Neurospora crassa OR74A: one gene and its partner. The main gene of each other region encodes a partner of the protein of the gene in region 2 in a complex. Links are inferred from orthologs where the notes say so. Each region holds a gene or a part of one and is shown on either strand. Other genes may lie near its edges.

The links.
Region 1: the proteins of NCU02414 (region 2) and NCU04344 are in contact, whole or in part, in a cryo-EM structure (PDB 6QG0), measured with the Saccharomyces cerevisiae proteins. The link is inferred for Neurospora crassa OR74A from reciprocal best matches to the Saccharomyces cerevisiae genes GCD6 and GCN3. Residues at the interface, in NP_010497.3 of Saccharomyces cerevisiae: Glu321, Lys327, Val331, Val332, Leu333, Ala334, Gln335, Ser336, Cys337, Ile339; in NP_012951.1 of Saccharomyces cerevisiae: Asp122, Phe146, Arg148, Phe149, Arg150, Ile174, Pro175.

Annotation. Positions count from the first base shown.
Region 1 is NC_026504.1:3,704,196-3,708,094, reverse strand, and holds NCU04344 (translation initiation factor eIF-2B alpha subunit), read right to left. Parts: upstream 2,572-3,899; 5' UTR 2,254-2,571; coding exon 2,174-2,253; intron 2,077-2,173; coding exon 1,122-2,076; 3' UTR 742-1,121; downstream 1-741. Other genes in the region: egt-1 (DUF323 domain-containing protein), read left to right, coding at 1-142, 211-655; NCU04345 (adaptin ear-binding coat-associated protein 2), read left to right, coding at 3,329-3,899. UniProt on the Saccharomyces cerevisiae protein: Acts as a component of the translation initiation factor 2B (eIF2B) complex, which catalyzes the exchange of GDP for GTP on the eukaryotic initiation factor 2 (eIF2) complex gamma subunit.
Region 2 is NC_026507.1:2,572,928-2,577,465, reverse strand, and holds NCU02414 (translation initiation factor eif-2b epsilon subunit), read left to right. Parts: upstream 1-1,472; 5' UTR 1,473-1,694; coding exon 1,695-1,853; intron 1,854-1,937; coding exon 1,938-4,019; 3' UTR 4,020-4,438; downstream 4,439-4,538. UniProt on the Saccharomyces cerevisiae protein: Acts as a catalytic component of the translation initiation factor 2B (eIF2B) complex, which catalyzes the exchange of GDP for GTP on eukaryotic initiation factor 2 (eIF2) and is regulated by phosphorylated eIF2.

The DNA of each region.
Region 1 (3,899 bases), on a different chromosome or scaffold from region 2:
AACTTGCCGGTTGCGCAGCTTACATGGGCGGCCGTATTCCCACCTTCGAAGAGACCCGGAGCATTTACGCTTACGCCGATGCTCTCAAGAAGAAGAAGGAAGCTGAGAGACAATTGGGAAGGACGGTTCCGGCTGTTAATGCGTATGTCCCTTCGACTTACTCTCCCGTGTCCAGCTCGCACTAACAATATCTTTCCCATTGATAAACAGCCACCTAACCAACAACGGCGTGGAAATCACTCCCCCATCCTCTCCCTCTTCCGAGACCCCCGCCGAGTCTTCCTCCCCCTCCGACAGCAACACCACCCTCATCACCACCGAAGACCTCTTCTCTGACCTAGACGGTGCCAATGTCGGTTTTCACAACTGGCACCCTATGCCCATCACCTCCAAAGGCAACACCCTTGTCGGGCAAGGCGAGCTCGGCGGCGTGTGGGAATGGACTTCATCGGTCCTCCGCAAGTGGGAGGGGTTCGAGCCGATGGAGCTGTACCCCGGCTATACGGCGGATTTTTTCGATGAGAAGCACAACATTGTGCTGGGAGGGAGCTGGGCTACGCATCCGAGGATTGCGGGGAGGAAGAGCTTTGTGAATTGGTACCAGAGGAATTATCCTTATGCTTGGGTGGGGGCGAGAGTTGTTAGGGATTTGTGAGTCGTTGTGTTTGTATGTGTAATGGGTGGTGGACTATGGCTGGTTGGAAAGTGAAGACGACGTGAATAGCGCAGTCTTGGTTAGTACTCAGATGGGTATCTTTTTCTTGGTTATGAAATTTCGGTCAACTACATGTATATGAATGGGGTGGTTTCATATGTCACTCCACTCGATCAGGCATCCCTGGTTTAACTTTAGCACGTACTTTGTTTTCCTTCACAGGCCAAGCAAGTGAGAAAAGAGACTCTTTCATCAACCAAACCTCCAAAGGATATCAGGTACCTATCCCATTTCCCGTTAAAAACGCCTAATAATGCTGCAAGGATATTTACCACAGTAACCACACCGATAACTTGAAAATGATCAAGCAGTTCCATCCATCCATCCATCCATTCATAAAACCGCCCTTTTGTTACCCACGCTTTTCAACACCTTTCACCTTCAGTATCGGGCAGCAAGACCCCCCTCACTTCTCATAATCAACCAACTCCCAAATCTGACTCGGCTGCTTCACTCCCTGCTCCGTCACAATGCCATCAATCAGCTCCGGATCGGTATAATCCACCTCATCGCGATCCGCCACCCAATCCCTCGCCTCTTGGCCTACAGGGTCAACGCCCACGTTGTCAAACTTGCTGATATCCTTCTGCTTGACGCCGACCCTCAACACCTGTGGGTGCCAGAGGGGCGTCTTGCGCACAATCTTGTGACTTTCCGCAGCAACCAAGAAGCGCTTCTGCGAGCCGCCCGCGAAGCGCGTGAGCAGAGCAAGCTGCGAAGTGCCCATGCGCGAGATGATGCCGCCGTTTTGCATGACGACCTCGCTGCCGACGAGGACGATGTTGATGTCCTTTTGGTCCTTGAGGACGTAGGCCACCTTGGAGGTCGAGATGGTCTCCACCTCCAGGCCGGCGTCGCGCAGGGCCGAGACGCTGGCGTCGCAGTGCGGACTGCCGTCCATGACGTAAATGACCTTGAAGTGCGTGTTGGTCCGGGTCGTGGCGGCGTGCACCAGGATCTTGGTCACCACCCGCGAACCGCCGGCGGCCAGGACGATCTTGCGGTGCGACATGTAGCGGGAACCGATGACGGCAATGTTGTCGCGGGCGGCCTTGGCGCGGGCGGCAAAGAGCTGGCGGTTGTTGAGCAGGTGGCGCTTCGTCTCGTCGAAGGACTCGGCGGTCTGCCCTCTAAGCGACCGGAGAAGGTACTGCTCGAAGAGGTCGGCGCCGGCTAGCAGAGGGAGAGGGTTCGGGGCCGAGTCGAGGAGGAGGGCCTTTTGGGTCTTGACGACCTCGACGGTTTCCATGGCTGTTGAGGAAGGGGTGACGCGCAAGAGCTCGATGAGCGATTCGATGGCTGCTACGGGCATAGTCATGTCGGGGTCGGAGGTGAGGAGGTCGCGGTAGGTTTTGACGATGCTGTTTGTTTGTCTTGGTCAGAGGCAAGCAATGCGACGAAAGGGTTCAGCGCGGTTTGGTTATGACGCGTGTGGTAATTACGCCAAAGCAAACTCACTCGAACGAGGCGCCATCAGTGGAGGTGGACGATGTCGTCCGTACCGCGAGCGGCTTGTTGGATAGGTCGTCGGTGGCCATGTTTCTATGGGGGTTGTTGGAGAAGACGACAAAGTGTGTTGATATTGTGAAGGTGTGGGAAGTGGTTTTCGTTGCCAAAACATACAAGTCCTCCCGGGAGGAAGCACTGTTGCGGCGGTCGATCCAAGTGGGGAGGGTTCGGGGTGTTTTAGTCACTTGGGAGACTTGGAGCAGGCAGGCAGGTTTTGGCTTTGTCAAATCGTACAGGTTTATGTATTGCGACAATGATCTGGTTTGTGGTATGCAGAGTCGATAAAATGCAGCGTTTTCTGAAGAAGCGTGCGTCTGGTCTGATCTGAAAGTGTGACTCAAGATGCGTACCTACCTCTACTAGCTGTACATGTAACCTTCTTCATCCCAAATTCCCAAGTGCGGGCGGCCCTTTGAAGTATTCTGCCGCCACTCACCGTCCTCAATGCGTACCTACTACTGAGTGTACCTACTGCACGTCAACGAAGCTCTCCGGCCATTCTTTGTTTCCATTTCATGCCCGCTAGGTATGTGCCCCGCTATCGGCAGCTGCTAGTGTACACTACTACCTAGCGGGGTTGTTGCTGCCCTGGGTGATTTCCATGCCAGGTGTTGCGGCTTGTCACCGCCGCCCACCAGTCACCTCACGGACCTTTCGGGGGCTCTTTACAGGGTCGAAACACTGAGGGTCCCCCCTGGGGCTGCGTGGATCCTTTCTACTCCAGGCTGCCCCTGGCATCTGCGCTGCTACCACTGTTAGGTACTTCCTGTGGCTTCCGCCCCGCCGTCCGCTTCCATGGAACAGGGGCAGCAAGGGGAATGTGAAGCTAACTTAGGGGTTTCTACAGTAGCGGAGGACCCTTTACCGTCATTGTCTCTTTCTTCATCGGGCATTTGAAACTACCTAGGTGTATGGACCCGTTGGTTGGCGATGTTGGCTTCAGTCTCTTCTTCTTCTTCTTCTTCTTCCCCCCCTGGCTTCCTGTTGAGCGTCGACTATAAGTTGCCGACATAGGGACTAGGTACGCTAGCAAGCAAATCACAAGGACAGAAACACCATTACGACCGTGACCACCACCACCACCACCATAACACAACACACATCATGACGACCCTCATAGACCCGGCCACGCAGGCCCCCCTCCCGGCCGATGCCATCCAGCGCATCCTCCACATCACCTCCTCCTCGGTCCACATCTACCAGATCCCCCCTATGCGCTCGACCAAGGGCCACATGGCCGCCGACTGGACCGCCGACCCCAAGGCGCACATCTTCACCGGCCGCGTGCGCATCATCGAGACCTCGATCCCGCCGCAGACGCCCGAGCAGATTGGAGAGAAGGACACGGTCAAGGTCGACATTGTGCTCGAGGACCCTGCCACAAACGACCTGATCGCCGCCGCCCCCTACACCACCCAGGCCGTCGTCGAGGCCACCATCGACAGCAGCCGCTTCTTTGCCCTGCGCGTGCAGGATCCCACCACCGGCAAGAAGGCCATGCTCGGCGTCGGCTTCGAGGAGCGCAGCGAGTCTTTCGACTTTGGCGTGGCCCTGCAGGAGGCGCAAAAGTCGCTGGGCCTCATCGAGGGCGTGGCGCCCCTGATCAAGTCAAGCAAGAAACAGGAGGCCGAGGAGAAGAAGGATTATAGCTTGAAGGAGGGCGAAACGATCACGG
Region 2 (4,538 bases):
CAATTCGGGGGGTAGACCCCTTACCATTCCGCCGGCCGTTGTTAATATTCTCTTTTAGTATATAAATACCCCTATAAAATCGAAAAGATTCTTATTGTAGGTAAAATTGGGGAAGTATATATTTAAATTTAATAGCTACGGTTGCGAGGCTATTTAAGCTGCAATAGAGATTTAGGGTGTCCGTTGCATTGAATAACTAATTTATCTTCCTCTAAGCGATAAGACCTGTCGTTTCCACTTTAAATTTGCTTTATGGTACGCCGGCTTTACCCTATTGGAATAGGAGATTTGGATTTAGTTTAATGAGACGTAGGTAAATAGCGTTACTTAAAGCTGTTATTTCGTTACCCTTTTTAAGGATGAGAAGGTTAGCGACTTCGTTAAAATTAAAATTAGAGTTCGGGGATGGATATTTTAGATTTACTTTATAGGTAAAAAAAAGGGTACATTCCTCTTTTGGAATTATAAGGATTGGGGTACGATTACTAGCGATATTTACTAGAAGTATGTCTTCCCTTTTCTGCGGTAATTTTGGTAAGAGAATTCGTTTTTTGTCGTTATGTAAGACAATGCACTAGCTTATAGTTCGAAGTTAACGAAGGTATTTATAAAGGATGCTTTTGTTGGCGCTACTATTGTCGATTGGCCGCCCTACTCCCTTGATTTTAATTCTATTGAGAACGTTTGGGCCTTTATGAAGAGATGGATTGAGTGTGAATACCTAATTAGACTGATTGGGAATAGCTTTAAATTGGCTATCGAGAAGGCTTGGGAGGTTGTATTAGAGGACTACTTACTTTGCTTAGTATATTTAATGCCTAGAAGGCTTGAGGCGGTTATTAAGGCAAAAGGCGGGTATACCGACTATTGATTTGGCTGAGGTTACGGTTACAATTGTGGTATTTGAGAATCCCTGGTTTTAGTATGTGAAATTGATTGATTTACGGTAGCTTTGTTGTCCCTGTTCTTCCTGTGCGGGCCTCGTATGCGTAATTTGATTGGATTTATCCCTAGTCGCCTCCCTTGTCAAAACCCCTGTATGTACCGAGCTAACGAACTTTCCAGGGCTCAAGTGTACTATTCACACTACTTAGTACCTTCCCTTTCATACATGTTGCCGTTTTTGTGCGGCCAAGGGAGATGCTAAGCACTATCGTGTTGTAGTGTACACGACTAGGACACGAAGTACTGTTCAGTGCCGGTGCTATGATGTGCTTGATGCGGCTACTTCAGTTGTCATGATCGATATGATGGGAGCCCAAATGCGGCTAGTGATTTCCAACGCCACAATTTTCCACTGATGAAAGTTACCACCTGTAAGGCTCAGTGCAGTTGGTACGCGGTACGGTAAACTTAAGGCCCCGATGGTACGTACAAGCCACAGGTGATAGCCCTGCGCCCCACCTCCAAGCATGCAGTACCTTACGGAAAACACAATGTGAAAGTTTGGACAAATTGGGTCACTGCGTTGACTCATCATTGCAAGGTTTTGGTACCGCACGGCGGCCGAGGCAGGCGCATCATCAACCCCAGCTTTGAAGTTCAAACGCGCCGTTCTTGACATTGTGCAGCCCCACCTTTTTCCTTCTACCACAGTCTTCCCCGCGCTTCCCGATCCGCGGCCACTTACTCAACCAGGCCCTCGTCGACCCATTCCTGTAGAGTTCGAGCTGATAAATAGACTTCAGTTGGCAATGTCGGGCAAGCAAGTCAGCAAGGGCGGGGCTGCCAATAAGTCCAAAAAGCCCGCCAAGGGCGGCGCCGAGGAGAAGAGAGAAGATGCTCTCCAGGCCGTCATCCTCGCCGATTCTTTCCAAGATCGCTTTCAGCCTTTCGCGCTTGAAAAGCCCAGGGTAAATGCCTTCATGCTTCGTGCTAAATGCTTCGTGTCCCTTGTCCCTGGTGACCTCTGAGTACTGACGGCCTTCTCCTGACAGTGTCTCCTTCCGTTGGTCAACGTGCCCGTTATCGAATACACGCTCGAGTATCTAGCCTCCAACGGCGTCCAGGAGGTCTTCATCTACTGCGGCGCCCACTCCGAAGACGTCGAAACCTACATCCACGACTCTGACCGATGGAGCCCTGAAAGCAATCTCTGCCCCTTCTCTTCTGTCGACTTCATCCGCGTGTCCGACGCAAGCTCCATCGGTGACTTTTTGCGAGATCTTGACAAGCGCAGTCTTATCTCGGGTGACTTCATTCTGATTCATGGCGATGTTGTCGCAAACATCCCCCTCGATGGTATTCTGGCTAGGCACCGCGCAAGGAGAGAGGCCAACAGAGACGCCTGCATGACCATCGTCTTGCGCTCAACAGGAGACAGCCCTCACCGGACTGCAAAGGCCCGGGGCATTACTCCTGTCTTTGTTGTCGACCCCACCAACGGCCGTTGTCTGCAATATGAAGAGATGCACCCACTTCAGAAGGACAAGTATGTCAAGTTGGACGAGTCGGTATTCGAGTATGCTGAGTTCGACTTACGCACCGATCTGATCGATTGTGGCATCGATATTTGCACGCCAGATGTTTTGGCCTTGTGGTCCGAGAGCTTCGACTACGAGCTTCCCCGCAAGAACTTCCTTCACGGCGTACTGAAAGACTGGGAGCTCAACGGCAAGATCATCAGCGCCGAGATTCTTGAGGAAGGCTACGGGGCTCGCGCCAGCAACCTTCAGATGTATGATTGCATCAGCAAGGATATCCTCCACCGCTGGGCGCTACCGTATGTCCCCGATAGCAACCTTCTTCACGGACAAACTTACAAGTACAAACGGGGTCTGTGGTTAGAGGATGGCGCACACATCGCAAAAAACAGCACAGTAACCAAATCCGTACTAGGGAAGACCGCCTATGTCGACACCGGCAGCACAATCTCGAGCAGTATCATCGGAAGGAGGTGCCAGATCGGAAAGAACGTGAGGATAGAGAACAGCTATATCTGGGATGACGCGGTCATCGAAGACGGTGCTACTGTTCTGCATTCCATTGTAGCCAACGATGCAGTCATTGGTAAGCACAGCTACATTCCTCAAGGCTCTCTCATCTCCTACGGTGTGCGGATCAGCGCCGGAACACAACTCTCATCCAAACCCCTACCGAGAATATCCCTCTTTACCAGTGAAAGAGAGCCGGTCAAGACCGACATCAAACTGGTCGGAAACGATGGCAAGGGAGCCCAATATAAAGAGCCAGAAGACGACGAGGATAGTGACTCCGAGGATGAAGGCGATGCGGACCCCGCAGTTCTCCAAAGCTCTCTCATTTACTCTTTGGCTGGCCTCAACATTTCAAGCGAGTCCATCTCCACATTAGCGACCCATGACTCCGATGATGACCTCTCGGATGACGAGTACGAGCAAGGCCTCCAAGCCAAGACCAACCGGGAGCGCCTATCCTCCTTCGCGTCTGACGATTCCGCTGCCGCCGTCATGAAGCTCGACCAGTTTCATGGTGACGCTGTTCACGGACTTGTAGATGCCCTCCGTGCTGACGACAACGAGGATTTCGACTCTGCGAAGCTGGAGTTCATGGGTTTGAGACTGGCCAATAATGCTTCGGACAGCATGATGCGCAAGGCCATTGCCGTAGCCTTTGCCACTCGCGCCGCCGAGCTCATGAGTCCCGAAAACGGCGGTCTTGAGCCTACCAAGGCCGCTGGCCGGGCTCTTACGTCCAAGAAGGGTGCCGTCAAGTTCATTACAGAGGTTGGCGTCGGCGGAAACAAGGTCGATCTCCACGCTGAGTTTGCCCTCGCGTTGCAGAAAGCTTTGGCAGCCATTAAGGGGCTTGATTCTGCGCGCGCAGGAACGCTACTTGCCGCCATGCTGCAGCAGCTTTATAACTTGGACGTTCTCGAGGAGGAAGGTATTCTCGCCTGGTGGGCGGATGCCAGGGCTGCAGAGAATGATACACTCTCCAAGATCAAGGAGAGGAGTCGTGTGCTGGTCGAATGGCTGGAGAATGCAGATGAGGAGGATAGCAACGAAGACAGTGATGAAGAGGATGAGGATAGTGACTAGATGGGTTATCAATGGAAGTGCATGCTCAAGAGGGATGGATTATTTGGAAGAAGGAAGCAAGGGTGGAAGAACGAAAAGGGGGAGGTGTAGATGAACTTATACCCGCAGCACCTGCGACCTCGAGATATTGCTTGTGTTCTCTTTTTGGGAAGGGGAGAATGGATGGACGGGAAAATGAAGGAAAATTTGACATCCGCATACTCCTCGCTCTCAACACATCTTCCTTTGTATGAGCACGAATGCCTGTGATAATTTTATGAACTACACTGAGCAGCCTTACTAAAATGATGGCCTGAGTGCTCTCAGCATACAGGTTGTATAGGTGAGCGTCGTCAAGAATACTAGGTCGCAACAGTCAGAACCACCCATGCATGCTCTTTGCTTTCCAACTTTGGTCCTTGCTTCACACTCAACTTGCTATCTCATCATACGTACATCTTGGGTCAAAAAGTTTGGTGATAATGTGCACAATTATCTTACTGCCCAAACTCATCACCGAAGGACATCATCCTCACCATG